Linked DNA regions of Cricetulus griseus. The protein of the gene in region 2 purifies or fractionates together with the protein of the main gene of each other region. This does not show direct contact. Links are inferred from orthologs where the notes say so. Each region holds a gene or a part of one and is shown on either strand. Other genes may lie near its edges.

Evidence for each region.
Region 1: the proteins of Eif4e (region 2) and Eif4a1 purify together in Homo sapiens (affinity purification with mass spectrometry; 8 studies listed by BioGRID and IntAct, counting the BioPlex papers as one, with this or other methods). This does not show direct contact. The link is inferred for Cricetulus griseus from reciprocal best matches to the Homo sapiens genes EIF4E and EIF4A1.
Region 3: the proteins of Eif4e (region 2) and Hhex purify together in Homo sapiens (affinity purification with western blotting; 3 studies listed by BioGRID and IntAct, with this or other methods). This does not show direct contact. The link is inferred for Cricetulus griseus from reciprocal best matches to the Homo sapiens genes EIF4E and HHEX.

The regions. Positions count from the first base shown.
Region 1 is NC_048600.1:83,508,207-83,517,517, forward strand, and holds Eif4a1 (eukaryotic initiation factor 4A-I), read right to left. Parts: upstream 9,073-9,311; 5' UTR 8,986-9,072; coding exon 8,963-8,985; intron 8,926-8,962; exon of another isoform or gene 8,044-8,925; intron 7,717-8,043; coding exon 7,668-7,716; intron 7,448-7,667; coding exon 7,315-7,447; intron 6,914-7,314; coding exon 6,774-6,913; intron 6,528-6,773; exon of another isoform or gene 6,384-6,527; intron 5,882-6,383; coding exon 5,713-5,881; intron 5,668-5,712; exon of another isoform or gene 5,527-5,667; intron 5,435-5,526; coding exon 5,325-5,434; intron 5,229-5,324; coding exon 5,085-5,228; intron 5,008-5,084; coding exon 4,870-5,007; intron 4,783-4,869; coding exon 4,693-4,782; intron 4,644-4,692; exon of another isoform or gene 4,498-4,643; intron 4,437-4,497; coding exon 4,357-4,436; intron 4,264-4,356; coding exon 4,119-4,263; 3' UTR 3,951-4,118; downstream 1-3,950. Other genes in the region: Cd68 (macrosialin), read right to left, coding at 1,182-1,315, 1,542-1,712, 1,833-1,905, 2,033-2,152, 2,321-2,769, 2,851-2,896. UniProt on the Homo sapiens protein: ATP-dependent RNA helicase which is a subunit of the eIF4F complex involved in cap recognition and is required for mRNA binding to ribosome.
Region 2 is NW_023276806.1:21,028,079-21,038,267, forward strand, and holds part of Eif4e (eukaryotic translation initiation factor 4E), read right to left. Parts: intron 5,925-10,189; coding exon 5,818-5,924; intron 884-5,817; coding exon 788-883; intron 1-787. UniProt on the Homo sapiens protein: Acts in the cytoplasm to initiate and regulate protein synthesis and is required in the nucleus for export of a subset of mRNAs from the nucleus to the cytoplasm which promotes processes such as RNA capping, processing and splicing.
Region 3 is NC_048596.1:24,365,992-24,376,618, forward strand, and holds Hhex (hematopoietically-expressed homeobox protein HHEX), read right to left. Parts: upstream 5,474-10,627; coding exon 5,110-5,473; intron 3,104-5,109; coding exon 2,925-3,103; intron 2,739-2,924; coding exon 2,688-2,738; intron 1,042-2,687; coding exon 820-1,041; downstream 1-819. UniProt on the Homo sapiens protein: Recognizes the DNA sequence 5'-ATTAA-3'. Transcriptional repressor. Activator of WNT-mediated transcription in conjunction with CTNNB1.

The DNA.
Region 1 (9,311 bases), on a different chromosome or scaffold from region 2:
GCCCAGTGCCCCGACTCTCCTGATGCAGTGCCCCTGGCTCTCAGGCTGTAAGGGCACTCATAGTTTCTCTGCTCCTTGTTCTTGGAGGGGCAGTGCTGGGCCGGTTCTGCCACATGTACCTCTCAGCTGTGCAGGGCTCCAGTCCACCAAGAATTTCTATAACCTCACGGGGCTCTTACAACTGGAATGGCACCCATCTATGACTTCTGTTGGTTGCAATATGCCCTACTATAAATAGTGAAACTTGCCTGACTGGTGTCACAGGCCTTTAAGCCCAGCACTTGGAGGCAGAGGCAGGAGGATCTCTGAGGCCAGCCTGGTCTACAGAGTGAGTTCCAGGACAGCCAAGGCTACACAGAAAAACCCTGTCTCAAAAAAACAAAACAAAATAGTAGAGTTTATACTTGGCTTTGGTACAGTGTGTAGCCATCTGGCCTATTTTGAATCTGGACGTGGGCTGCGCTGCAAGTGGCACCACCCTCTCGCCCTCTGGGTACCCGGGCATCAAGGGTATGTTTGCTGGACCTGAAGTTGTTCCTAGGGTACCCACTGCTTCCAGATTGGTGCAGTTCTTTGCAATGGGCTCTTCAGTGAGTCTAGCCCTGGCCACAATGGACAGGGACTCATTGCTCGGTAGCCACTGGCAATCACCCTTTTTGAAATGAAATTACACAGCCACCTACTCATATTTTGGCTGTGTTTGTACCTCTAGCTAGAGGGTAGGAACAGGACGCCAGGATGGACTGATCCATCATATCATGTTAAAGGAATGGCTAGTCACTGGCCCCAGAAGGGAGTCTGGCAGCTTCACCAGCAGCTGTGCCAGGCACTGGAGGATGAACCCCTTAAAGGCATTTGGTTACTCTGGTGTTTTCATCCCTTCCTGCCAGTTGTCTCCTAGTGACTCAACCATGGGAAGGCACAGGAAGGCACATGACAAGAAACTCGTGGCTTTTAATCCTGGCAGGGCAAGGGAAGCCAAGGACAAAGATTTCATAAAGTTTTCATATCCTTTTTTTGTTGTTATCAGAAGTGGGACACCCATTCATGTTTATTAACCACCCATTACAAAATCTCTGATTTTGTTCTTAAAGACAGAGAAGGAGAATAACTTTGAGTCAGTTGTAAGTTGAAGAAATGAGGATGTTCCTTAGTGGCCCGGAGTGAATTGGAGCAAATGCTCAGAGGGGCTGGTAGGTTGATTGCCGTCTTCGGGTAATGCAGAAGGCAATAAGTACCAGGGTGAGGAGGCCAAGGAGGACCAGGCCAATGATGAGAGGCAGCAAGAGGGATTGGTCACTGGTGCAAGAGAAACCTGGTAGAAAGATGGGATTATTAGGGATTCCAGCAGCAGTGGATGGGATAAAGGTAGGAGGAAGAAAAAAGGAGATGATGGAAGGAGGTTGATGAGGTGCTCAACCCCATAATTCAGAGCAAAGTAGAGGGGGAATAGGCGGTCTTGTTAAAGAAAGAGGGCTCTGGGGAAGAGGTTTCCTGTGCAGTGGGAGACTCCCAGGAAGGAAGAGGTAGGGAGGTCTTACATGGCCCCAAGTGTCCAGTGTTGGGAAGCTGAGCAGCCTGTAGTCTCAGGAAGAGTAGGTCAAGGTGAACAGCTGGAGAAAGAACTATGCTTGTATTTCTGCAACAGAAGCTTTGGCCCAGGGGAGCTTGGAGCTCTCGAAGAGATGAATTCTGAGCTGAGAATGTCCATTCTGAAGAAGTTATTAATGAAGAGTCAATTCAGTCCACTCACAACTCCTGAGTCTTGTTGTCGAGCCGCCCCCCCCCCCCCCAAACTAGCTAGTGTGATAATGAGAAGGGAAGTTACTCACGTGCTGCCTGTGGGAAGGACACATTGTATTCCACTGCCATGTAGTTGAGGTAGACTGTACCCTGCTCCATGTCCTTGAGGTGAACAGAAAGGATTAGAGCAGCAGGGACAGTGGCATTATGTCCACAGAGCAAAGGACGCAGCTTAGGGGTGTAGGTATGGGGCACAGGAGAGTAAAGGATGAAGACAAAAGCTGTCTACCTGTTTGAATCCAAAGGTGAGCCGCCCATAAGGAAATGAGAGAGACAGGTGGGGATAGGCATGGTCACAGCCCCCCTGGACCTTGGTTTTGTTGGGATTCAATGTAGTAATGCCCCAGGCCTACAGAAGTGAAAGAATAGTGAGTCTGAAATTACATGGCTATGTCATACAGTATTTTTTTATATCCTCTGCTCTTTCTCCTGAACCACCCCAGAACTCACCCCTTGCCCCCTGAAACACCTCAGAACTTACCCCTGTCCCCTTTAAGCCCCACTACCTTAGCTTTACCTTTCCTCCACCCTGAGTTGGGTACAGGATTCGAATTTGAATTTGTGCTTGGAGCTGAACACAGGGCTGGGAGCCATTAGTCCATGTGTAGTTTCCAAGAGCCTCCTTGGAGCCTGGACTAGGACTTGGAGAGGGTGGAGTTGGTCCAGGTTGAGGGCCGATGGTAGAGAACCCTGGACTAGGAGCAGTGCCGTTGTTTGTGGTGGGGTAAACTGTGGCATTCCCATGACTGGTGGTCACAGCAGGGTTGTGAGTGGAAGTTGTGGGTCCAGAGCTGGTAGCGGTGCTATTACTTGTTGGAAGAACTGTGACATTTCTGTGACTGGTGGTAGTGGGCCTGTGGCTGGTAGTAGAGCTTGCTGTGCTTTCTGTGGCTGTAGGTGTCATCGTGAAGGATGGCAGGAGAGTAGCAGCTTTTTTGTGAGGACAGTCTTCCCCTGTTCCTTGGGCTTTCAGCAAGAAATCGGTTGGCTACCCAGGTACAGGTTCCTGCCCAGGAGCTCCCTCCCTCCCCTCTCCATTCTCCTTACCTACAAGCAGTCCCAGCAAGACCAAGCAAAGCACTTCATACCTCATGGTAGAGCAGCTCAAGAGTCCAGCTGGGCTGTACCAGCTCCTTCCTCAACCCAATAACCTCTGCCTTCTCTTGAAGAGGAAATGAAAGTTGCACTTCCCTTAAGACAATCCCACCCCAGAACCTGACTCAGACACCTCAGCTCCAGCCACTCACTTTAGTCGCTCTTCTCACAATTAAGCTGTGATTGGCAGTGGCAGTGGGAGGTACAAAATCTTAGCAACCACGTGAAAAATGAGGCAGTTGACTCATAGGATCTTAAGCAAAACTTGCTCTACTTGAGTTTACAAGGCAAGCAAACTAATTAGGAGGCCCTTTCCGCATTGGTTAGGAACCCTGCCCCACCCGTGTGCATCTCCTGGTCTTCACTTTAGTTCCATGATACCAAGAGCTACAGGGAAATCCTCACCCCCAAAGATAGGCAGTCAGCATCCACATGTGTTGGGCACTTTGGGATCTTAAGCAGAACTAGGTTTTGCTGACTTCTTGACCCCATTACTGTGTTCAGTTCCTCAAGTATCATGTGATACTCGTGACTAACGTTTTGTGAAGGGTCCTGTACTGTCAGTACCAGTTTTCAGTACATAGTGGATCACTTGATATATTTTGAACACCAGCAGGAGGCAACAACACAGTAATGAACCACTATAGGAGCTGACCCACACAAACAGCAGGTGGGAGAGGAACAAACAAGAAGCCCAAACAGGCAGTTTCCAAGTAATTTTATTCAGAATTTTGTGTTTGTTTCCTGAATCAATAAATACTATACAAAACAATGTAAAAATGGCTACCATTTTCTCTCCCCTGCTCCCCTCACCTGGGGACAATTCCCTGGACAACTTCATGCAGGGACTCTCCCTGTAGATTTGGTCCAGCAAATGAGGCCAGACATGTTTTAGCCCCTTGATTCACTTTTGGAGATTTGGCTGGGGTAGTAGGAAAGTCTTTAGAATCAGGTTAGGGGAATGGATTAGTGTTTTGGGGTTGGGGGAAGGAGACGGCGCCTGGGGCAGAACCTACCCCAAAGAAAAGGGTATCTATAATGTTCACGGTTCCTTCTTTTTGCCTCAAAAAGTGACATTTATTCAAAGAGAGAGAGAGAGAAAAACAAAACAAAAACAAAAACAAGATGTCCATCCCTTGGCTCCCTTCCCTCCCCCCTCCAGCTGTTCCTCAGCCCCCCAGGACTGAACCCTGGCTAGAGCCAGGTAACAGGACAGCCCCTCAAATGAGGTCAGCAACATTGAGGGGCATCTCTTCAATGGAGGTGTTGTAGAATGTCTCAATGTCTCGAAGAGTCCTCTTGTCTTCTTCTGTCACCATATTGATAGCCACACCTTTACGGCCAAAGCGACCACCACGACCAATTCTAAGGGCAAAAAGGGATAATAATGGAATGGGGAAAGAGGATGACATTTGGATTTCAGCGCTTGGGTATTTGGCACTGCAGACCCTTACTTACCTGTGGATGTAGTTTTCCCTGTTGGTGGGAAGGTCGTAATTGATGACTAAGGAGACCTGCTGCACATCAATGCCTCTGGCCTAGGTCAAGAAAGATCACAGAACTGTCAGAGGGTACAATCTGTCCAACTGATTTAGGAATACATGTAGGCAGCCAAGGCAGGGAAAGGCAACAAACAAGCATCTCTTGTTCCCCCAGAGACCTCAGGCATGCCAGGTTTTCTTCCAAGTTGCTACGTTCCTGAAAGGGGCACTAGTCAGCCCCTTGGAGAGGGAATCACCTTGGACTCAACTCCTCCCACCCCTCTTGCTTTTCCTGAAACAGGCCTCTACTCACCAACAGGTCAGTGGTAATTAATACTCTGCTAGAACCAGACCGGAACTCCCTCATGATCACATCTCGTTCCTTTTGGTCCATATCTCCATGCTAGAAAACAAGTAGCACAAGGCTTTTGGCATTCTATGCTTAAAACACAAGCACACACAGCTACTTAGAAGATCTGAGAAAACTTACCATGGCGGAAACAGTGAAATCCCGGGCATGCATCTTTTCAGTGAGCCAATCCACCTTCCTTCTGGTATTGATAAAGATTACTGCTTGGGTGATAGTCAGGGTTTCATACAAGTCACACAATGTGTCAAGCTTCCACTCCTGGAGATCCGGAAACATCAGTCAGGGGCTATACCCAACAACTTACTACCAGGTCCGCCTCCTGCACTAGGCCCCACCTCTCTTTCCACATTGATGTAGAATTGACGGATACCCTCCAGGGTCAACTCTTCTTTCTTGACAAGAATCCGAATGGGGTCTCTCATGAACTTCTTGGTCACCTCAAGGACATCTGAGGGCATTGTAGCAGACAACAAAACTACCTAGTTGGGGAGAGAAAAGTGGATGGCAATAAGGGTTGCTTGTCCTCCTCACATCACAACCAAGCCATGGGTTATCCTATGAAGACAGCAGCTTACCTGTGTGTTACTGTTGAGCTTTTGGAATATATCATATATCTGGTCCTTGAACCCACGGCTTAACATTTCATCTGCTTCATCCAGTACAAACATCTTGATGTATTTGGGGGCTAGGAAGACAGAAAAGATACCAACACATAATAAGAGAAATGTGAAACATTTAATTAAGTCCCTTAGTAAAGGGACAGGCAAGGAGCAGTCTGCTCTCAGAATATAAGGATTGATCCTTTGCCTAAGGCCTCCCTGCCAGGCCAGAAAATAGTCCTGGTAAGTAGAACACTACCTGGGCTAAGGCAACAGGGAAGCTGGGCTCAGATGACACGCATGGGGTTCATCACAGAGCAACTAACATCCTAGGAAAGTGCGACAACTGTAAAATGGCACTCACACAGGTATCTCCGGTTAAGCATATCAAACACCCGGCCAGGGGTGCCCACGATGATATGGGGAGCTTCCATCTGCAACTTCTGCACCTCAGCACGCACATTAGTGCCTCCAATACAGGCATGACAAGAGGCACCCATGTAGTCTCCTAATGCCATGACCACCTTTTGAATCTAAACAAAAGACAACTAAGTTAGCTTCGGCTATATACACCTGGAAGTTTGTTACTTTCCCCTTTAATCCATTTATCTAAAACTCTCCTTAAGACACCCCCCCACACACAAATGGCAGAATCCTTGTTTCTGAACACAGGCTAACAGTTAAGTTTTCCATCCTACACAAAACCCTCTAAAATACCAAGCCAGGCCACGCCAGCCCTTATGGCTTAGAACTAACTCACAGGCTCCATCCTGCCATCACATTCCAAAGGCTGGGATTATGAACACAACAATGTAAGCAACATGTTTATTATATATCCCTGCCACAGAACCAAAGACTTCCCTTATTGGGCAAGTAAGCATTCCACTACTGAGCTACACCCTCAGCCTGCATACAAACAAAACACAACCCCCCCACCCATGACACGGACAAACAGGACTCCTTGCTTACCCCAGCACCCAGATCTTCAGAATAATCACTAGGTTTAAACATTAGTAACCAAGAGGCAGCAGGATTTTATGTGCCCTAGGCATGAAACAGCTTTGGCCACCAAGTCAGGCATCAAGCTAGGATGAACAAAGGACTGCCACCTGATCTGCCCCTGGCTCATATAAGAACATCACCACCACCAAGGTGTCTCTTTGCCCATTGCCAGGGTTTCTTCATAAAATAGCTGGCCCTGCTACCCAGCCAGCTGCATTCCACTTCACTTTATGCCAAAGGAAGTGGGTTCTACTGACAGAAAAAGATTTGATAATTACCCCAACAAATCAACAGCTCTAGAAGCTACCAACCCATTTTATTTACCAATTCCGGAACATGTTTTTAACTGCCAGCAGTGCCAGAAAATGCACTGAAGTGTCATTCTGAAACTAGTCAATTAAGGAGGAAAGAAGCCACTCTTACCTGCTGAGCCAACTCACGAGTGGGGGCCAGAACCAAAGCCTGAGTGGCCTTAAGATCTAACTCAATCTGCTGCAGAATTGATATGGCAAATGTAGCTGTTTTCCCAGTCCCAGACTGGGCTTGAGCAATCACATCATAACCTACAATCAGATCAAGAATTACATGCGGTAAATGTTCTTGCACCGTGGGCTCATTGACAGACAGTAGGGATATCATGGTATCCATAAGGAAACAAGGTTGCAAACAATGTTAGGGGAGGGCCTCAAATTTTTGTCACCCAGATATTGTGACAAAGTCCAGGGTACCAGAACATTATGAACTTATACCACACCCACTTGAGCTAGACACAAAACATTAAAAATTAAAGTGCCTATGAACTAACTGGAAACACCAACTCCTGTCTGTATCCAAGGCATGACCTAGATACCGACATAAACTAAATCCAAGAACCAAGGAAGCAGTGTAAATAAATTGTTCCCCTGTAGTTGCCATGCCCACCACCAGGTCAGGGACAGTACAAATCTATCCTGACAATTCTTACCCTTGATACAAGGAAGAATGGCTCGCTGCTGGATGGCAGAGGGCTTCTCAAAACCATAGGCATAAATACCACGGAGGAGGGATTCTGAGAGATTCATGTCATCAAAGCTATCCACAATCTCATTCCAGTTACTCTGTGGGATACAAAGAAATGAAAACTCAGGAAGATAGTAGCATGTGTTTACACAAAAGCCGCAGCCACTCCACCCCATGTCTGCCGTCTGTCTCATTCTAGATGTCTGAGGTCACTGTCTCTATAAGGAGGTACCTGTTTACTTCAGACATGTAAAGCGGGGGATTGAATAGGAGAGAAAACGCATAAGGCAGGGTAGTGGCAGAAAGTTGTAGTCTCACCTCGATGACGCCTTCAGGCTCCATCCCGTCGGGGCCATTGTCTCTGGATCTGTTGATTCAAAGCATTAGTTTTGCTTCCTGCTTGAGAGGAGCGCAGAAACAACCAACCCATTCCCGCTCGTTCCCAATGGACAATCAAGACGCACATTTAGGGTGTCTCTCCTGTTAATAAAGATCAAGGGGCTGTGCCCTCACACATGAGGCTGAGATGCAATCTTTGCCGCCAGACCCACATGTTCTGGTCCTGACCGATCAAAGCGCGTGCACCTCCTCCCGGGCTCCAAGGCCACCGGAAGTCCCGCCCTTCACCTCGGAGCTCCGAGGGTGGGCCGTCCCCTTCCCCCCACGTCATGCCGCCCGCGCCCTCCCCCACTCCCTCCGCCGGCCCCCCTCCCCAGTACCCGGATGTGGGAGGCCGCGGGCGGTGGCGGCCTCGCGCACAATGAGCCGCAGCCGAGTTAGCTAAGGGGGAGATTGCACAACACAGACAAGCGAAGCAGACTGGGGGAGGGGAAGCTCTCAAGCGGCCATGTGCTCATTCGCTCCGCCACTCGGCGGCGTCTCCCCCGCCATGAAACAACCCGCCCGCCCCCGTCGAGAAATGGCGTCGCCCTCCCATACCTCAGGCCGCTCACCCCCGGAGGAAAGTGGACCTGCCCATCCGCAGTTTGCCAATTGCCCGGCTTGTGCGGCAAAATGGACCCGCCCGCCCGGCGCCGGGAGCCCTCCCGGCGCCTCACTCGGCCGCTCCTCGGGGTTAAGCTCAGTCCCGGCCGTCAAGAAAACCAGCACCCCGAGCGGCCGGCTTCTTCCCCGACCCACATTCCAAGAGTGACGACGGGACTGGCTGGAGGCGCCGGCACCCCCGCCGGTCGCGAGTGGTACCGCCAGAATCCTCCGGAGCCGTCGCGCGCGCACACCCTGCCCGACACAGGGAGGCAACCAGACTAGCCGGCTCCGGGCCGCGCAGCCGCCTCGCCGCTTTCCCACGCTAGGTCAAGACCTCGTCCTGCCTCTGACTACCCGGGCTTCGCGTACGGCATCCCCTCGGGCAGAGGCCTCGTGACGAACCTCGCGCCCTCCGCCCTGGGAAGGCTGTCCTTCCCCGTCTCCGCGCTGGTGGCGGCGTCCGCCGTGGACCATTCCCTTGCCCCCCCTCCCGGACGTTTCCTCCCGGCTCGGTTCCCCCGCAACCTGGTAGGTTTGGGGCAATGGGCCTCTCAACTCCCCCGTGGGGCCTTCGGAAGGGAGCCGCGGGGTAAGTAGCCACAGCCTCTTGCAAATGCCTTTCTTACCGAGAATCCTGACTCGCAGACATGATCCTTAGAATCTAGGGTGGAGTGCCCGCCTATCGACAACTTATAGAGCGCCCGACCCCGCCCCAGCCATCGCATTGGTTTGGCTGCCTCTGCCCCGCCTGCCGGCACTCTGCAACTCGACGTGACGTTAGTTTGTAGGCGCTTTAGCTCGTACGCCCTATTGGGTAATTTGAATGCCTATCAAGGCTGAGGCCCGCCCTGCAGCCTCATTGGCTGAAGGGCCCGCCTTTCTCACTGGTACGGAAGTGACATACAGAAGTCGGGCCTCGCGGCCGGGCAGCCATCTTGGAGCCCAGCACCTTTACACGTGCGGAGGCGATCGTGC
Region 2 (10,189 bases):
CAAAAACTGGAAACATTGATTCAAAGCTTCTAAGGCATGGGCAGTATATGTCTGAAAGGTAAAGGCAAGTTCTAGAATGCTAGGACATCTTCAACAACTCAGCTTTATCCTGTCTGAAAACAAACACAACACTTTTAAAGACTTTCAGTTTATATTCTATTTTTAAATCTTGGAAAAGTTTGATTCCAAGTCAACTTTCCTAAACTGAAAACTAAACCTTAAAAAAAAAAAAAAACTTTTTTTCAATTGCTCTTTCAAAAATTACAATAAAATTGATGAACTAACACCATCATTCTCTAGGCATGCCTCTGAATCTTAATCACTTCAGCTTTTGATATCCTAAGTGGGGAATTCCAGGTATCACAGTGAAAACTGTTTGCAGAGCAGGCTCCAATACCCAGGTATGACACAAACATCCATCTAGGTGACTGCACAGGGGAACAAACTCCAACAATGTTCTCAAAAATTCTAAGACTGTAAGAGGGGATTCTCACAGGCAGATGAGGAATAGAGACTATTCAAGCCTAAATAAAGGCTGACTCTAATGAAACGGTCTCTATCTCTATCTCTATCTCTATCTCTCTCTCTCTCTCTCTCTCTCTCTCTCTCTCTGTTGTTTTGTGCTGGAGGATCAAGCATAGGGCTTTTGAACATACTAAATCTACAGCAAAGCAAAATCAAGTCAAACATTTGTGAAGAGACAAATGAACTTCGTCTTTCATTTTGTGAATGACGTAAAATAAAAAAATATACAACTTAAAGTATAGTTTAAAATAAAATTACTTACGCCCAAAAGTCTTCAACAGTATCAAACTTAGAGATCAACCGAAGGTTTGCTTGCCAAGTTTTGCTTTTATCATTTTTAAAAAACCAGAGTGCCCACCTAAAAATAAAAAGGCAGTATATAAAAACACACATTCATAGCAGAATTATTTACCAGTCAAAAGGTAGAAATGTCCATCAGCAAGAAAATGATGTAAAAATGTAGAACTGACAGACAGTGGAAAAGCCATCAACCCTGAAGAGGAATCTGACACTCAGTACAACAAGGGTGAAGTCTAAGAACACGGGACTATATGAAATAATACCCACCCCAACCATGGCTCTACTTACATGAGGGACCTAAGGTAGTCCGATCTGGAGAACAAAAGTGGTGCCAAGGAATAGACAGAATGTTGCTGGCAACTTACTTAACTTGTTTTAGTTTAAAAGATGAAAACAGGAGCCAGGTGATGGTGGCACATGCCTTTAATCCCAACACTCAGGAGGTAGAGGCAGGTGATTCTCTGTGAGTTCAAGGCCAGCTTAGTCTACAAAGTGAGTGCCAGGACAACCAGGGCTGTCACACAGAGAAACCATCTCGAAAAAACAAGGGGGAAATAGCACAGCAGGCAAATGCACTCACAGTCAGCCTGGTGACCGTGTTTGGAAAAGTTTGGAACTGGAACCCATGTAGAAGCTAGTTTTGGTTTGTCCTATGACCTCATATTTGTGCTAAGGCACATGAAAACCTTTACATATGTATGTAGACATACACAAAAATAAGTATTTTCATAAAATACCAGGGGGGTCTGAAACAGGGTTTCTCTGTGTAACCTTGATTGTTCTAAAATTTTTTGTAGACCAGGATGACCCTGAACTCAGATATCACTGCCTTCCTCCAAGCTAGGACTAAAGACATGTGTCACCTGGCTCTAAAATACATTTTTTAAAGATGTAAATAGGTTTTTTTTTTTAATACAATATAACATGAATGCAATTATTACTAAGCTATAGGTTTTAAAAGGTTAAGAGGGGCTGGACTGGTGGCTCAGTGGTTGAAAGCTCTGGCTATTCTTGCAGAGGACTCAGTTACAATTCCCAGTACCCACATGGTGGTTCACAGTTATCCTTAACTAGTTCCAGGATCTGATGCCCTCTTCTGGCTTCCAGAAGCACTATATACACATGCTGGCCAAAAACCACCAAGCTCATAAAAATAAATCTAAAGTTAAAAAAATAAAACACAAAGGTAATGTAAGTTGTTATTTGTGCTTTACTATATACATTTATAAGAACACAATTTAAAGTGGCAGCTTCTATTACAAAAGCAAACTAGTTTTCATTTAAAGAGTAGATGCATTTTAGTTGGAAAAACAGTGCTTTATTAGTTTGTCAGGTCCTAGGTTTGATCCTCAGAATTAAAAATAAATAGCATTGTGTATCAACTACATAACAGATTCTCTGCAATAGACAATTACAGTGTACAAAATAATATGATAGTAGTCAAGAAAGTACAATTATTTAAAGACAAAACAATAGAAATTGGCTAAAAGGAAAAAGAGGAATGGGGAAAGCATTAAATGTGATGCTATAGTCAAACACACTAAAAAAACAGATCAACAGATATGCTTTAAAATAATGTATGACAATTTCTATATAGCTATATATACTTCTGGCTTACGGTTTTCCTCCTAACATAGTTTATACAGAAGCCTTACACCCCCCCACCTACCTGCAGTGTCTAATGGTAATAATTATTACTCTCTGAGATACAAAACAGTCATCTCTCCATACCCTTAGGTTTCACACCCTCAAGATGTCAGCAACCTCAGAAAACATTTAGGGGAAGCCCTTGCACCCATTCTGCACAGGGTTCTACCTGTATGACACAAACAAAAACCATTCAAAGCGTCTACACTGTGTGAGGTAGCATCATTTAGAAATGACTCAAAATGCATCTTCTTAAGCTAAGGGACTCGCAACCTCAGAAGTTGTACAACCAAGCCTACAAACCTTATGATCTCAGCTGCATGTGGTGGCTCAAACCTGAAGGAATTCGAAACTCATGGGCTACCCGGTGAGTTCCAAGCTATGTTGGGCTACAGTATAAGCACCTTTCTCACTAAATTCCTACCCTTTTACATGTCCTTTACATATCCTACATGAAAAACACATCTGTTTAACAAAATACTGTTTTGAATGGGGATACAAATTATCCATTTTTTTTCCAATTTCACTTGAAAGACTGATAAGCTATACTTATTTTCTGGGAAAAGAATAAGCCTATTACTTAAAATTACGAGTTATCAGGATAAAAATTGTAATTACGCAAAGCTTGCAGTTGTTGCAATAAGCTTGACAATTTCACAAAACAATGGTATTTCTGATGAGTTTAGGTGATGTTTTATGCTCTAAATGAAATGTGTCCACATTTTTCAGATCTGCATAAATCACTGGATTCTTCTCAGAGCAATCAATAGATCATTCTACAAGAATCACACAAGTAAAAGACCTGTTTCAAAGGCAAGAAAAGCCAACGGATTCCAATGTCCTGTCTTAGCATTATTACTGTAACAACAGAGTTAAGCATGAACACAAAAAACAAAACTCTTAAGAGTCCTCAGTATTACTGTTCTGTTTTAAGAGTTTAAAAGGAGGCAGGCAGTGATGAGCTCACCTTTAGTCCCAGCACTCAGGAGCCAGAGACAGATCTCTGTGAGTTTGAGGCCAGCCCCATCTACAGAGAGAGTTCCAGGGCTACAGAAAAACCCTGCCTTAAAAAGAAAAAGTTTAAAAGGAGGGGCTGGAGAGAGACCTCAATGGTGAACAGCACTTGCAGAGGAAACATGTTTGCTTCCCAGCACCCACAAGGTAGTTCACAACCAGTGTGTTTAACGCCAATTCCAAAGGATTTGACACCTTCTGGCCTCCATTTGCATTGTATGCACATGAGGGGAACACTTACACACCTAAAATAAAAACAATGAACAATTTTTTTAAGTGAAAAGGGGGTCACAAGATCAAATATTTGAGGAATTATTGAAAACAAAATGATATAATCATAAAGGACATTAGCATATTTATTTTTAGAATTACTACATGGGGGCTGGAGAGATGGCTCAGAGGTTAAGAGCACTGACAGCTCTTCCAGAGGTCCTGAGTTCAATTCCCAGCAACCACATGGTAGCTCACAACCACCCATTATGAGATCTGGTGCCCACTTCTGGTGTGCAGGTATACATGGAAGCAGAATGTTGTATACATAATAAATAAATAAAATCTTAAAAAAAAATTACTACATGGTAAAGTTGTACTAAGACTGACAGGAAATCCAGAAGCCATGGGGAAAATGATATTTGCCTACATAAATATTAAAATTTTTAAATCCAATCCCATACAATTCCAAAGAACCTAATAAAAGTAAATTGGAACTGCATTTGCTGATTTACTATTCCTGCTATTTGAGTAACTGGAAATCAACTCGAAAGATAATCCAAAAGGAAAAAAAAAAAAAAAGATATAGGTAAAAACCCAGAACAGACTCTCCAAAGAGAAAACCACAAGTGACCAAAAGAATATGAAAGTGCTCTCAAGCACACAGTAAGAAAAGCGGACTTCCCACTTCAGACTGGCACCCATCTGGTCATAACAAACAGCTCACGCACAAGTGGGCACATACAACAGCACTGCAAGGCACCCCACCACCGTTAACAAAGGGGAGGAAGGCAAACATACTACCTTTATACACTGTCCCCACTCATTACTAAATCCTCTAACTGTTAAGTGCTTATAAGAACATACAGAAACCACAAAATTTACGAAAAGTCAGTGATGGTTTTAGTACCAAATAGCATTTATAGTATTTTCCCAACTGGCATACTTTGCAAAATAAAAAAAAAAGATTAGAACTTAGAGAAATTGTAATCTCTTGAGATCTCACGAGGATTGAATAAATCTGTTTACACTTTTGCATGGTCTCAAATTTCTCAGCAGTCTGGTGTGCTGGGTTACTCCCCTCCTAATGACAGCAAAGCAGTAACTGGGTTCAGACAGCTAAAAGGAGTGTTAGCTGTGTATGCACATGAGTGTGTTGGCCTGTGTGTATGTCCATGGACGAGTGAAGGTGGGACTGGATGCCCTGAAACTGGAGCTACTGATGGTCATGAAAAGCCATCTGAGTCCTCTGCAGGAGCAGCTCATGCCTGTAACCATGGAGCATCAACCCCTAGAGTTAGGGTTTTAAAATGCCATAAAAAGGGCAAAAACTATGCTATCCCCTTGATGGTGAAATACGACAATAAATTACAAACAGGCTGGCAGGCTTTCAAATAAACTCAGTTAAAAAAAAAAAAAAAAAAAAAAAGATCTGCTTTTGGTAAACAAATATGGAAACCAGAAAGGAACTCGACCCTCAGAAGTCAGTTCCAGTGTTACTTTTTTCCAGGTTCATGTACATTTCAAGTTTCCATTTTCTTCCCACCATCAGTAAAATAAAAATGTTTTTCATTACATAATCTGAAAACCCAGTAACTAAACCAGAAACATAGGTAAAGCTAGAGAACGGTATAACAAACCACCACCCATCTTCCGTTACACCGCTCATTTGAAAACTTGCCTTAGTTCCCCTCCCTCCTCCACCTGGTCTGCATGGGCCACCTCCTCTAGCCTTCACAAACCCCATCTCTCTCCTTTCTCAATCTGCCTTTGTTTCCCATTCTTGCTTCCTAATATGTCTTATCCACTTTTCAAATGCTCCAACCTCTCATTCCTTCACCTACACTTTACAAAAAGCCTTCGCTGAAGTCAGCAAGGAGTTACTTCAGTGTGCAGCCCAAGGGAGACTGTGACACCTTGAGTAAGTCTTGCTCCTGTATCCCTTGGCCCCCCACTGTCCTGTCTTCATGACCATATCCTTCAGAGGCTTCTCTTCTCCTCAGCGAAGATCCTTTGTGGGCTGACACCTGAGCATATACATCTAAAAGGAGGCACACCTCATCCTTCTGTTGAAACCTAGCTGTGCACCACCCTTCTTACCTCTCTCAGAAAGCAGCTTACCTGTTCTGTAGAGGGTGTTTGATATAGTGCTCTGGGTTGGCAACCTCCTGATTAGATTCTGTTTTTTCCTCTTCCACAGGTGGGGGATTAGTAGTAGGGGTGGTTTCCTAGTGGAAAATAATAAAGTAGGATTTAAAAAAAACTTTAAACAAAACCAGGACAGCAATACTATAAGCAAGTTTGATACAACGAATAAGAGCAGATGATTTCACAAGATTGACTACAGACCAACCCCTGGGACAACCAGACCACTTTAGCTCTTCATTAAAGCAGAAAGGCTTCTCAAATTTAAGTGATTTTTATAAAACTGTAGATACACCCCCCCTATTTGCACATTTTAGGTCATCAAAGATTATAAATAAAGGTAATGGCCCCTCCAAAGCTAGCTCGAGAATCCATCTCAAAAAACAAAAACAAAACAAAACCAAAAAAGAAAAAAAAATAGCCCAATTTTCTTAATATGTTAAAATATTATAGAAGGGCGGTTTAGTGTGTTCAATTCCTAGGTCCACAAAAAGAAAGGTAAACCAGTACTCTATATTATGGAGGTAGACTGTGGAAAGGTTTAAACTATTATTTTGCAAGTATAACAACTATGTTGATACAATGAAAACAATTAGAAAAAAACAAAAACAGACAAACAAAACAGCATTTCAAGTGAGCAAGCCAGCAGTACAGAAGTCCTTCATAAATTCATGTCAGACTCACTGCTTGACACAACAGCTGTTTGGAATTTTCTGTGGTAATATATTATTTATGATTTATTAAAGCTTGCCTGTGGTTTCAGAAAGCAAAGTCAGCCACAAGCCATAGAAGCCAGGCACACACCTTTAATCCCAGAAGCTAGGAGGTAGTGGTATACATCTTTAAAGGTAGATGATCTGTGAAACTAAGGCCACCCAGATCTACACAAGATTGATCCAGTCCTAAAGAGAAACAGCTTACACAAAGATGATATCAGCACCTGGGATCACACACTTTTAATCCCAGCATTAGGGAGGTATGTAAGACAGGAGCAAGGTCTCAGTATCAGGCATTCATTCTCCAGCCTCATGGAAGATAGGAAGACATTCAGACTTCTACAGTCACGCTGAGGAAAGGCAGCAGGATCAGCCCATTCAACCTGAGGTAATGGTAACAGCTAATGGCTTGGCTGTTTTGTTTTTCTAATCTTCAGCTTCAAGTCTGAACCCCAATATCTATCTCTGGGTCTTTTATTTTTCGTGATAAAATTTTCAACAGGTAAGGCATAATTAATATTGTCATTGCAACTATGAAAAGGAGCCTGGGAATAATTTAAAGCATTCACCACTGTGCCCTTTGCAGTTCCTCAGCCTGCTAAAAACTGACCTTAACAGTTAAAATAGCCAAAGTCAGTCATTAGAAGCTAAAACAAATGCCCGAACATGTATGTGCACGCACACAGGCACTTCAACAATACAATATTTTTTATTGAACTTATATACTCTTCAGCATTGAGCATCAAGCCTAAGGCCTTGTATGTATAAAGCAACACTGAATTATACACCCAGTCTAACTACCAGCTTTCAATTGACCCAGAAAGATATGTATGCTCTAAAAGACCTCAACTAGAAGCAATAAATACTAAATTTAAACGGTACTTTTTCTTAAATCAGCCTATAACATGTACAGAAACTTTATGCTTACCCAGACACATTGGCAAGCATCTTAATACTATGGTCAGATGAGAAGCAAGAGACAGGACCACCCAGAGGTTGTGGGCCAGCTAGCTTTGAGTATGAGATACAAGGGTGTAAGCATAGACATAGACACACACACACACACACACACACACACACACACACACACACACACACACACACTAAATACAAGAATAAACAAAAACTATTTAAAAATAAGTAAAGAGGGGCTGGAGAGATGGCTCAGGGGTTAAGAGAACTGCCTGCTCTTCCAGAGGTCCTGAGTTCAATTCCCAGTAACCACATGGTGGCTCACAACCATCCGTTATGAGATCTGGTGCCCTCTTCTGGTGTGCAGATATATACATGGAAGCAGAATGTTGTATACATAATAAATAAAAATCTTTAAAAAAAAAAAAAAGTAAAGAGGCTGGTCAGATAGTTTGGCGGGTAGGAGACAACTGGTTCCTGCAAGTTCTCCTCCTGACATCCATGTTCCCACTACATATACACAAATAAGTAAATATAAAAAACTACATAGAAGTCACTCTATCACAGGGCTTGGTGGCACACGCCTTTAATCCCAGCACTTGGGAGGCAGAGGCAGGCGGATCTCTGTTGAGTTCCAGGCCAGCCTAGTTTCCAGTGAGTGCCAGGATAGGCTCCAAAGCTATACAGAGAAACCCTGTCTCAAAAAACCCCCACCCCCAAATCTTGGCATTACGAGTATGGTTTAAGTCTTAAAAACAAATCTTGATAGTGTCAAGGACATCTATCTATGGATTAACTGCCTCCAAAAATAAAACTGCACTCTTCAGCTGGGGTGGGGAAAGGAGGTTGCATGCCTTTAATCCCAGCAGCAAGTAAGTTCGAGTCTGAGGCCAGCCTGGTCTACAGAGGGAGTTCCAGGACAACCAGAGCTATATAGAGAAACCCTGTCTTAAAATAAGCAAATCACAAACACAAACAAACCAAAAACTGAACTCTTCAGAGAGGATAATACACTCTTAAGAATTAAGCTCACTGGGGCTAGAAAGAGAGCTCAGTGGTTAAGAGCACTGGCTGTGAGGGGCGGTGGCGGCACACACCTTTAGTCCCAGCACTCCTGAGGCAGAGGCAAGAAGATCTGAATTACAGGCCAGACTGGTTTACAAAGTGAGTTCCAGGACAGGCTCCAAAACTACAGAGATACCCTGTCTTGAAAACAAATAAATACATAAATTTTAAAAAAAAAAAAAAAAAAAGAATTTTCTTAAGTGACTAATGGTAAAGAGATAATTCTAAAGACCTGAGTTCAGTTCCCAGCAACCACATGGTGGCTCACAACCATCCGTTATGAGATTGGTGCCCTCTGCTGGCATGCAGGAAGAAGACTGTATACATAATAAGTAAATAAATAAAAAATCTTAAAGAAAAAAAAAAAGTTACCCAAGTCTTAACTACAATTTCCACTGAGATACAAATTATTCACTTTAGAAAGTGTTTAATTTATGTGTATGAGTGTTTAGCCTGCATGGCACATGTATATATGTATGTGTGCCATGTTCACAGAAGTCAGGCTTCCTAGAACTAGAATTAGATGGTGGTATGGGAGCTGGGAACCAATCCAAGGTCATCTACTAGAGCAGCCAATGCTCCTAACTACACAACCATCTTTGCAGCCCTTAATTTTATTTTTAAGACACTATGTAGCCCTGGCTGTACAGGAAGGAGATCTGCTTACTTCTGCATCTTGAGTACTAGGATTACAATCATATGCCTTGACACACAGCTAAATACACTGACTTTTAAGGTTGTTTCTTACAGAGTACAGATGGCAGAACTGAATTACATCTTTACATTTAAAAAGAAACTTCTTAAAATGGGCATAATGGTTTGCATCTGTAATTGAAGGACTTAGGGAGGCTAAATTAAGACTCAATGTTCCAAGCTAGCCTATGCTGCCTAGCCATTTTGAGGTCAGTCTATGGAAGTCTGTGAAACCCTGTCTCAGAAACCAATGCAGCTTCCAACTGGCTACGTAGTAGATGGCAATGATCCTGAGTGCTAGGAATACAAGTGTACAGCACCATGGCTGCCTTTCCCAACCACATCTTAAATGCCCACTTTTTACCAGGATTTTCAGGTTTGCAAATCATTTGGACAGAAAAGTAAAGGCTAACAATAGATTATGGCTATTCTCAAAATAATCTAACACATTTTTAAACTGATAGCCTGACCTTGAAAGGCCACAGTATAAAGTACATTTCACAGTTAGACCAGAGAAGAAAGAGCAAAGTCATAGGATGGTCCTGTGTTTATCCAGACCATATCCAAGGTACTCAAAGTGAGGGTGGTCCAAGAAACTGAAGACTGGGCAGTATGCTCCAGAGATTATGAAGGTCGCAGATGTCAAGCCAAAGAACATCTCAACATTTCAGCAGTGGAAGCCATGAACTACCAGGTCAGACAGATTAAATGCCCATGGCAAGTAAGGGAAGAGAGAAATACCATCGGTCCAAGTGCAAAAGAGTAAACTTGATTTTAGATCAGTTGAAGTCACATGTGTCAAATAAGGGGTTCAGTACTATACTTTAGAGATTCCAGGTTCAGTAAGCCATTGTACCAACAGCAGAAAGTTGAAAAGAAAGAAAAAAGCAGAGCAAGAGCAGGATAAATCTAACTAGCTGCAAAAACAAAACAAAAAATCTCACCTTTTTCAATATTCTGTA
Region 3 (10,627 bases), on a different chromosome or scaffold from region 2:
TAACCAAAGAATGAGAATTCCAAACAGGGTCACGAAAGTTAACTCATCAAATAAAAATTTAAAAAAAAATTAAACATCATTTTGGCAGGGATTTTACAGTGAATAATTCTATATACATGCTATAGACATTGTTTCAATAAAACACACTATCTACAATCACTTACATTTAATTGTCCTGCTGTTTCTAGTTCATGTAGAGATCACCTTCAGTCACAAATGAGTCAGTTTCCCTGCCTGTGGGGACTGTGCTATCCCTTAAGAGAGGCACTGGCAAAGCAAAGCAAGATTTTGAGAACCCTATCAGCTATCTTGCTTATAAGAACACATGCCTGGAGCCAAGTGCTCCAGAATGGTTTAGTAGTTAAGGCAGCAATGTGACATGTCACGTAAAAGTTGAGTGTGCCCTTTGAAACTGCTCCAAGGAGCCGAAAACAGGGGCCCCTTTTCTAAGTGTACCTCTTGAGGGTAGAGCCACAGATTTAGGAAAAGTCACTCAGGAACAGCCTACTAAAACCTTTAAAGTTATAATTTAAGTTTTAAACAAAAGTTCAAATTACTTCTCATAAATAGAAATTATTCACTTCTTTAAAATGGGGATACATTTAGTCACTTTATCAAAACAACTTAAAGCTGGTATATACACCATCTATTAAGTCAAAATTAAGGTTTCAATGCATGTTTGTTAATTAGCCAGCCCACCAAATAGTCTCGGAACACTAGAAGAATGATACTCCTTTTCTCTCCCATAGTTTTCCAGTTTGTCTGTAGCAGAACATTATTCGAAAGTCCGGTCTCTGAACAAATCTCCGCTGGTAACCATCATCCAGAGTTAAAGTAGCCTTTGTCACCCTCAATGTCCACTTCCTGGTCAGAATCCTCTGAAATCTCGGAGTCAGGGTCTTCCTGCGAGGCTGGGGAGGGTGAACACTGAGAACTATCCAAAGAGGCACCTTTATTCTGTTCACTGGGTGAGTGTTGGCCCTGGTCACAGGAAGTGTCCAAATTGTCCAACTCATCCTTTTTATTGCTTTGAGGGTTCTCCTGAAAGAAGAGGGGATGAAAACATAGAGGGTAAGATCAAAGACATAAAAACCAAAAGTTTAGTTGAAACACTGTTTTCATCTAAAATCTCCTTCCTAAGAAGATACACTTGTGATTCCTTTTCCCATTGGAAAGAAGAGTGGCAAAGTCACATCGGAGAGAGATTAGACATGACAGAGACCCATGATCTCAATCAAGATCTTCAGTTTACGAGGAAAAATAACTCAATCCAGACTGCACTGTCGTCATTCTTTAAATATTGCCCAAAACAGGGTTTCCTAGCATTTTAAAACGAACAAATGTTAATGGCTGGTTTGTAATACCAAGGCCCACTCATGCCCACCCACAAGAAAAGAAAAAAGGAAAAACATACTAAATTAAGAAGCTGTGAAATTATAGATTGAATCCTTTTCATTTGCCTTTTGAAGTAAATTTATGAGCACATACACATATAACTATGTACCAAGTTACAAAATCATGGCAAAGAAAAATCACAGACCCAAATAACATTGTTGAAGAGACTGCAATTTGCTTAAAATCTGGGCAAATTTTTCTGGAGAAAAATATTTCCCATATTTCATAGAAAGCTCTGTTTTAAAAAGTCCTTGGGAAACTAGCTCCAAGCCTTTGAATAAGAACCAAGTCCAGTCAGTGAGTGTTTAAGCCTGTGGGTGTCTAATATGGATGCAAACATTATATAGAAACATTGTAATTCTCAAGTGACCAAATTTGCAAAAGCTGGGCAAGGTTAGTGATGAAAGGGAATCCTTAGATACTTAGGAATAATAAAACTACAGGAAGTCTTTTGTTGTTTCAAATGTTCTTTTCCCACTTAGCAAACTTTTGTTTCAAGCTGTGGTCGATGTTATTTAAGGCACTGCCAGGTGAGCCATTCAGCGGTTGTCAGATAACTCTGGAAACATCCAGTCTGGGACCTCAGAAACAAATCCTTAGCTCTAAATCAGCAGGGTTGCTTTGGAAGATGAGTTAGCATATACATATATATATATATGATATATATATATATATCATATATATATCACATGTTTCTTAACAAGGTTATTGAAAGACTTCTTAGGAAGTTTAAGCTACTTTCCAAATAGGCATGGTGATTTCTTTACATGTTTTACATTCATTTTAAAAGCTGGCAAAAGATGGACAATAATTTTTAAAGTCTTTGATATTTAATTTTTCCTTTTTAAAAAGTGCAAATAAGACTTAAAGGTGTTTGTGTCTTTATATTTACCCTTGAGTCCTGCCTGGTTTTATTATGGCTGTGTAAATAAAAGAAACAATTTTCTCCCAAAGATAACTACTTATGTCATTTACTGTCAATTACTTTATCTTTCCTGCGTTAATGAGATAAACAACATATGGGGTTTATAAAACAATTAGCTAGGCGGTTTACTGGCCAGTGTGTGAAACCCTAGCATAATTGATATAGGAACTGCATTAGGTGCTTTTAGCATTAGTGCCACCTGAGCAACTCATCCTGAATTTCAGCAGGACTATTTGCCCTTTTAATCAAGGTGAAGAGGTTAAACAGTCTCTTCAAATGACTTTTGCATACAACCCATAACAGGTCTCCGCATTTAGATAACATGATACAAACATCTATTTCCATAGAAACAGAACCATGTCAATACCTGTTTCAGTCTTCTCCATTTAGCTCGGCGATTCTGAAACCAGGTTTTGACCTACAGAAAAGAAAGAAAGTTTACAGAAAGTTCCAAATCCCGAGAGACCTGGGGAGGAAGGGAGACGGGGCTGGTGCTGTGGCGAGGACCAGCCCTGCAGCTGGGTAGGGGCAGAACATGCCCAGGGTGCCAGTGTTTTCTTCAGCACTAAAAGCCTGCTGGGGCTGCGGGACCCAGAGAACTGACCTGTCTCTCGCTGAGCTGCAACATCTTGGCCAGACGCTTCCTCTCGGGTGGGGAGAGGTATTTCTGAGTCTCGAACTTCTTCTCCAGTTCGATGGTCTGGTCGTTGGAGAACCTCACTTGGCCGCCTTTCCTTTTGTGCAGGGGCCGCTGGAGGAAAGGGCTCCAGAGCAAGGGCTTGCCTGTGGGCCAGAAGAAAGGCGGTCATCACGGCCCTAGAGCCCCTGGGCAGTCCCAGACCTACCTGGTCCCAGGTGACAGAGGGGGGAGGCCAAAAAGCAGGCATATTCTCATCACATACGTTCTCAGGTGTATGGATGGATTCAACAGTCCCTACTAATGCACACAAAGTCAGCTAAACTGTTTGAGCACACAGACCACCTCGGGACACTCAAAACACCGTACTACCCGACTATCACACCTGTGGCTAAATGCAAACAAATCTCCTCAACCCAAAGAACTCCTGCCGGGCTTAAAACCTACCGACCGGCTCTTGTATGTACACAACTTTTTTTTTTTTTTTTTTTTTTTTTTTTTTTTTTTTGCAAAGGATTCAGTGTGCGCATTTAGGGGAGGAGCAGGGTTACACAGAAGAGCTCGCTGGGCGCTAGTGTTAGGCCTCGAGCGGGGGGCCTCCAATCGTGGCTGGAGCACACCTCGGCCTCCTCTGATTTCACACTCGGCCTGCGGGGGCGGCCAGTTAAAGCCACCCCGTGGGCTATGGCAACATTTCCGTCAATGTGTTTCCTGTTGGTCTGTCTCAAAAAAAAAAAAAAAAAAAAGCTTCCTTCTGCTCAGGCCCAGCAGAAACCCAAGGAAACCAGGGCGATCTCTGTGAAAACGTCTGCCCCAGGACCGTTCCTGCCCCACAGGGGGATAGAGTGGGTGGCGGTCACACACCCTGCAGGCTGAAGTTTAAAAATACAAATATTGATAACCTTTTAAGTACAGAATTGTTAACACCCACACCTCAAATCCCGGTAGCGGTGAGAATAGGAGCGCTGGAGGCTGCGTCATTTAAACGCTGACATCAAAATACTAATTCATTAAAATGTTAATTGTCTCCAAGGTCCCTAGTGAAACTGGGGAAAGTGTTGACTTTAAAGTCTGGTGAGCCCACCTCTTATTCCCTCTAGGGAATCAGACTGCGCGGGCGATGAGGGACTCAGGCCCCGAACCCAGTCACCGCTGCTTATTTATTTCTTAGGAACATTATGGGGACAAGCCCCGAAAATTCTCATGCAGTCAGTGTCTGTGTCGCCGTTCCTAACTGTTCGGGGTCCGCACCTTGTTACTCCAAAGCTGTGGTGGTGCGTCGGTATGTCCGTCCCTCTTTCTACAGGCCTACACCTAAACATTTTGAAAGCTGGCATTGTTTTTTCGAGATTTTGCTTGCGTCAGGCTTCAGACTGGTGCAAAACAGCCTCCAAAAGGGGGGCGGGGGGAGGCAGAGAGGAAGCAACTGGTTATTTTAGCTGCCATAAAGTCACATCCCACACAGAGGAAATGAACAATATCAGAAAAACGGATCCTGGCTATCAGACGTCGAGTGTTTCCTGAATTTGTCTGTATTGAGGATGTCGATAAAATAATCAGCAGCGTGCACTACTCCGGGGGAAGGGTCTGCTTCATGCAGCCAGGAAAACACTTAACAGCTTCAGAAACCAGATTTTCTCCTATCGAGAGCTCAAGATTTCCTGTATGAACGGAAAGGGTCAGGCTCCTTCACTGCACAAGCTTGTTGAACCAAGCCCAGCCCAGGAACCGCCCGGCCCGGCAGCTATCCCTGCGCTGCAGGGGCCAGGCTCGGGGCGCCCCGACGTCCTCTTCCCGGAGTCGCCCGCTAAGGGGGCCCCACCCGGGCCGACACGCGTGGCCAGGGCTGCCCTCCATTACTAGCCGGGGCGTCCCGGACACTCTCCCGACTATGCTCGCCCTGGATGTCTGCAAGGTGCAAGGGAAAGCAATCAGAGTGGCCGAGCGTCCCAGCTCCCGCAGCGCGTCCCCGGGGCCCGCGCCTCCTGTGCCCGCGCGCACCCGCGAGTCGCTCGCTCAGAGCTTTCGCCGCAACTTTCTCCGGCGTCTCCTGTCCGCCCCGCCGCCGCCTCCCGCGCGCTGCCACCCGCCGGGTGCGCCTTCCCCATTTGGACGCCCGCTCCCGGGGCCCCGCCAACCCCGGCCGCCTTACCCAGGGGGTCGTGGCGGAGCAGGGCGTGCGTGTAGTCGTTCATCGTCCGCGGGAAGGGGTACAGAGGGCTTCCGAAGCCACCGGGGCCGTAGGCGGCGGCCAGCGCGGCGGCGGGGTGGTGCGAGAAGGCTGGGTGGACCGGCGTGGGCTCGTACACCGGGGTCCGGTAGGAGGACACGAGGCTGGTGAAGGAGGAGTTGGGGGATGGCAGCGTGGGGGTGGGCGTGGGCGCGGCGGGTCCGCGACCCAGAATGTCGTCGATATAGAAGGGCGTCGGGTGCGCGGGCTGCAGCAGCGGCGTGGGTGCGTACAGCGGTACTCCCACGGCGGGCGCAGCCGCGGGTCCCGGGTGCGGGAACTGCATGACGGCGCTGCAGCGGCCCCTCCGAGAGCGCTGCCGGCCCGCGCCACCGCGCTACATTTATTTGCGTTCCGCGCTCCCGGCGATAGGCTCGGGCAGCCACGGGGTGGGGCCGCGCTCGGGCCCCTTCCTGCCGCCAGGCCCTGCGGCCAATGGCGCGGGCCGCGGACTCGCCTCCGCCCCTGCCCCGACCCGCCCCCGCCGGCCCTGCTCCCGCCCCCGAGACGCTCGGGCTGCTGAGCTCCGGGGACCCTGCTCCGGGGTGTCCCGCCACCGCCACCGCCGGCGCTCCCGGCACTGAGAGTCCGACTGCGACCGTCGAAGAGGTGAGCGCAAGGCATGTGCCAGGAACGCGGATCCCAGCGGGAAGCGCCACGGCGGAAATTCGGGGCGGCATCTGGCCGCTGGGGGACGAATGGGACTCTGCGGGCCAGCAGGTCGTCGGCAGGATGGCACCTCCCGGAGCCAGAGTAACCTCCCAGAGGCTGCGCTCCTTGGGGTAACGGTGGCACTGTCTAGTGACTGGGCCCTGTGCTGCTCAGAGCTCCAAGAAGACGCTAGCTAGCCTTTGACTGCGACCCAGACGGGTACTGACAGAAAGACTGCAGGTGCTCCGTATTCCACCTGGAAACCCCCAAACTCGGCCACCTCCCTCGATACTTGGCAGAATCTGCTCCAGGCGGGAATCAAGGCAAGACCTGGATCATACAGCGCGCGGCAGGTGCTATGCAGTGTTCTTCGATCCAGCGGAAGGCGGGGGGTCTGCTCCTGGACCTCTGTCCCGGGGCCCTGAAGGACACAGCTGTGCGCAGCCGGGCTCCGAGGTTTTGCACATGTTTTCTATTGAAAGTCGTAGCGCGCTGCTCAGTGTGGCCTCGGCCCTGTGCGGCTTCACTCGCCTCTGGGGCAAAGGGGCATTTTCTTGATTGACGCCCCCCTGCGGTGACCACACCTTGAGTTGGGCAATTTCTGCTAAGGTTTTCTATTAATAGAAAAACTCCCTGACTTTTTTCTATTGAGATTTTAAATTTCACCGTTTAGAATTACCTCTTCAGCTGATCCAAGCTAAAGAGGAGAAAACTGGGTAGCCGGAGGACCTGGGTTCGAGTTTCACTGCACACATTTTTCTTGAGCTACTACTGTGTGTAATTAGCAAACGAGAGAGGTAGCCCCTGTCCTCATGGAAGCAGGAAGCAAATTGAACCCAGTAACATGTTTGCTAGGGAGAAATCGTGCCTAATGGTCAGAAACTTTAGGGGACAGCCCCTAGTTTGGTGAAAAGGAGAGAGTCAATTTGAGAAAGGGAAGGGAAAGTCTTCCCAAAGGAAATGATGTTTGAAAGATAAGTAGGTGTCAACAAGCCTAGGGTGTGAGTGAGTCCAAGTCAGAACAGCATGTGAATAGGTTACCTAACACAGCCTCCGTCAGTTTATTGCTACAGGCTTTTCTCGTCTGAAACGTTTGGAACTTGCCATAAAGCTTCCTGACTGCTTGGGGATGGAATCACTGACAGCTTTCAGAATAATGACAGACACAAGCTACAGCACAGACAAACCAGTGAGTGTGAAGCCCTGTTATTTGAGTTTAAACCTTGGGAGCTAGAAATAATGTATCTCCAGTGTGTTCACTATGTTACACGAGTAATAGAAGATAGCAGCAGAGTTGAGAGGGGCAGGGCTGAAAGGGAATAGACACTTGTGAATACCTGGAGAACTGAACCATGTGACACTTCTGGTGAGCTCAAATACATCTTGTGCTAGACACTGTAGGAAGACAACAGACTGCTTGAAAGGGCTTCTATTGGGCAACTTGGGGTGATTTAAGCTTCAAAAATAGATTGTCAAGGTGCTAGCCTGGCAACGTAAGTTTTGATCCACAGAACCCATGATGGAAGGAAAAACTAGTCCCATCGTTATCCTCTGCCATATGCTTTTGGTGACACACGTTATACACAACAGTAATGAAATTTAGAAAGTATGATAAAATTCTGACAATTTTATTTTGTTTTTTAAGATAGGGTTTCTCTGTGTAACCGCCCTAGCTATCCTGGAACTCGTAGACCAGACTGGCCTCAAACTCCCAGAGATCCTCCTGCCTCTGCCTCCTGAGTGCTGGGATTAAAGGTGAGCACCACCACCACCTGGCAAATTATGACAGTTTCTAAATCCATTGAATTCAAGGGAAATAAAGGAGTGGTGGGTGGGAAAACTGGAGGAATGCCAGAACAAATATAAAACATTTGAGGTTGGTGAGATTGATGGCTCAGCCTATGAGAGATTACCTCCCTATGCTGCAAACCTGAAGACCTGACCTCACACTCCAGACCCCACATGAAAAAAAAAAAAATTCGGAAAGAGAGCCCTCCGCTGGAGCTCACAACATGAATGCCCAAAACCCTCATCATACACAATAACGATGAGATAGAATTTAATTTAGAAAGTTTTGTTGATTCAGGAAATGAAATAATCCAATCAAGAAAGACCCGTGAGACACCACTATGGAATGAAACTGAAGATAAGGATTATGGTAGTCTGATAAGGTCTTACAGAATTCTTTGGGCTTAGGGTAAAAGGAGAAGAACTAAATGACTTGTACGTAGGTGGCAGTATTTCACTGGTGCTGTGTAGGTGTGATTTCGGTCTTGTGAGTTAAATATTGGAAAACCCACTACTAATGGATTCAAACTGAAGTATTTAAGGATGTGGGTCATGATATCTACAACCTTCAAGTAGTTTGTTATACAGGTTATACTTACACATATGCACACAACTGTAAATGTCTGTGTGTGGAAACATAAAGAGATAAACCAAATAAACAGTAATTGTCGAGTTTGGGTGAAGGACATACAGGTCTTTGTTGTGCTATTGTTTTCACTTCACTGTAGCTTTGAAAGTTTTCAGTATAAAAACTGGAAAAGATTAAGTAGTTTTGTATATTAAAAAAAAAAAAAGACCTAAAGTGCTGTGTCATAGAGATGGCTCAGTGGGTAAAGACACTCACCTCGGAGCCTGAGGACCTGAGTTTGATCCCTGGGACATGGTGAACAGAGAGGACTGACGGACAAGGCGTCTCTCTGACCACGCACACACTGGCTGTGGCACTTGGGAACCCACACAGGTGCATACACAAGCCTAAGAGTGACCAGGGAAGTGGCTTAATAGTTAAAAGTCACTTGCAGGGGACCCAGGCTCCATCCCAGATTCTCTCTTCTGGCCTCTGAGAGCACCTGCACGCACATGGTGCTCATAAATCCAAGCAGGCACACACACATGCAAATAAATGACTTTTAAAAGTGGGACTGGAGAGCAGCTCATTGATTAAGAGCACTTGCTGCTTTCCCAGAGGATCCAAGTTCAGTTCCCAGCACCCATGTCTGGAAGCTCACAACTGCTTCTAACTCTAGTAACCCAACACCCTCTTCTGGCCTCTGTGGGCACATCCCACACACAGAATTCACTCACACGAAGTTGGGTGTTACTAGGGGTTGAAGCCAGAGCCTTACCATGGTAGGCAAATACTCAACAGCTGGGATATGCCTTCTGCTCCTTTTAATTTATTTTTTTTTTGAGACAGGGTCTCAAATGTAGCCAGGCTGACCTCCAACTCGATATGTAGCCAAGGGAAACCTTGAACTTCCATCCTTCTGCCTACACTTCCCAGGGTGCCGGGATCCTGGGCACATGCTACTTCCAGTTTATGCAGTACTAAGAATCAAACCCAGGGCTTTATGCACACTAGGGGGAAAAACCCTATCAACTGAGCCACAGCTCCAGCTTCCTGTCTTTTATTGGGAGGCAGGGTCTTGCTAAGTTGTCCAGGATGAATGTGAACTTGAAAGCCTCCTGCCTCAGTGTCTCAAATAATTCAGGTTATAGGCCTGAGCCACCACACCTGGGGCCACTCAATTTTAAAGGTTTTGTTTGGTTTTTAGTTATTCATTAGACCTATATACAATTTCAGTAGTATCTTGTCTTTGGAGACATTCAGGAGAGGGTTCTCACAGAATCTTTGTCTCCACAGGTGACTCTATACCTACCCTTCTTATCACCTGGCCTGATGGAGACTTCGTGTTTTAGATTCCAGAAAGACACAGACTCTGAGGACCAAGTAAGGACAGGTATTATCTGAAATTCAAATGTGTCTTTAAAAATTGTATTTGAATACCCCCCAAAATTGGGAGCTCAGTGAACTAGCACAGAACTGGTCTTCCTCATGAAATATCTCCCCACCATTTTGTTCGTTCTCCTCCTCAGGAATGTGTGGGTTTATGGTGCGGGTTTAGTCTGTGCTTGATTCAGCTACCAGCCCAAAAGACGGCAATCTGTTAACCTTCTGAAAGTAAATATTGAGATGCTGGGGAAATAACCGCTAATTCAGGATTGTTAAGTGATTGCCAGTTAAAGGTGCATCTGTCCTTCCTCAGCTGCAGCCTCAGACCCTGGAAAGTGGGTGGAGACCTTAGAGGCGTTGATTCTGACATTCCAACCCAGCTACATAATCCTCACCAGCAAACCGAAGCACTTAACTCTGCTAAACCATATAACACGGCCTTTTCAAAACCCAATAGATCCATATCCATTTTGCTGTAGTTAAAAAAAAATCACAACCACATTTGTGAATGGCACACACAGTTCTTGAACTACATAATTTTAATATCACTTGTGTAGGGTTTATAGTTTGTTTTATTGTTTTAAAAGTCATTTGGGGCTCTAAAAGAACTCAATTTTTCCAAAGTTGTCCTTATGATTTTTTTTCACACAGTCAGAACTAATAAAACAAAACTGCTGTAGCTATTTAATTCAAAATCTCTTGGAGTTTCAATATTTTCTCTCTGCTGGATACTAAAACCAATAAGGCTACATGAGATTTTAATTATATGCTGAATTAAACAAGACTTGCCAAAAATTTGGTGCCATTTATTTTAGTCATTGTATTGTGTAAGAGAACAAATTTTGCAAAAGGAAAAAATAATTCTAGTCTCTCATTTATCAAATGAGCGCTTAGGTAAACTTCTGCAATTTGCTTTCATTAATTGCGTATATTTAGAGTTAAAATTTCCAATTAGCTGTGCTGGCACCAATTAGTAGATTTTGCTGTCACGACTTGGTTCTGTCTGCATTTGCACTGAAAATTATGTTACCTTCAATTGTTGGGATG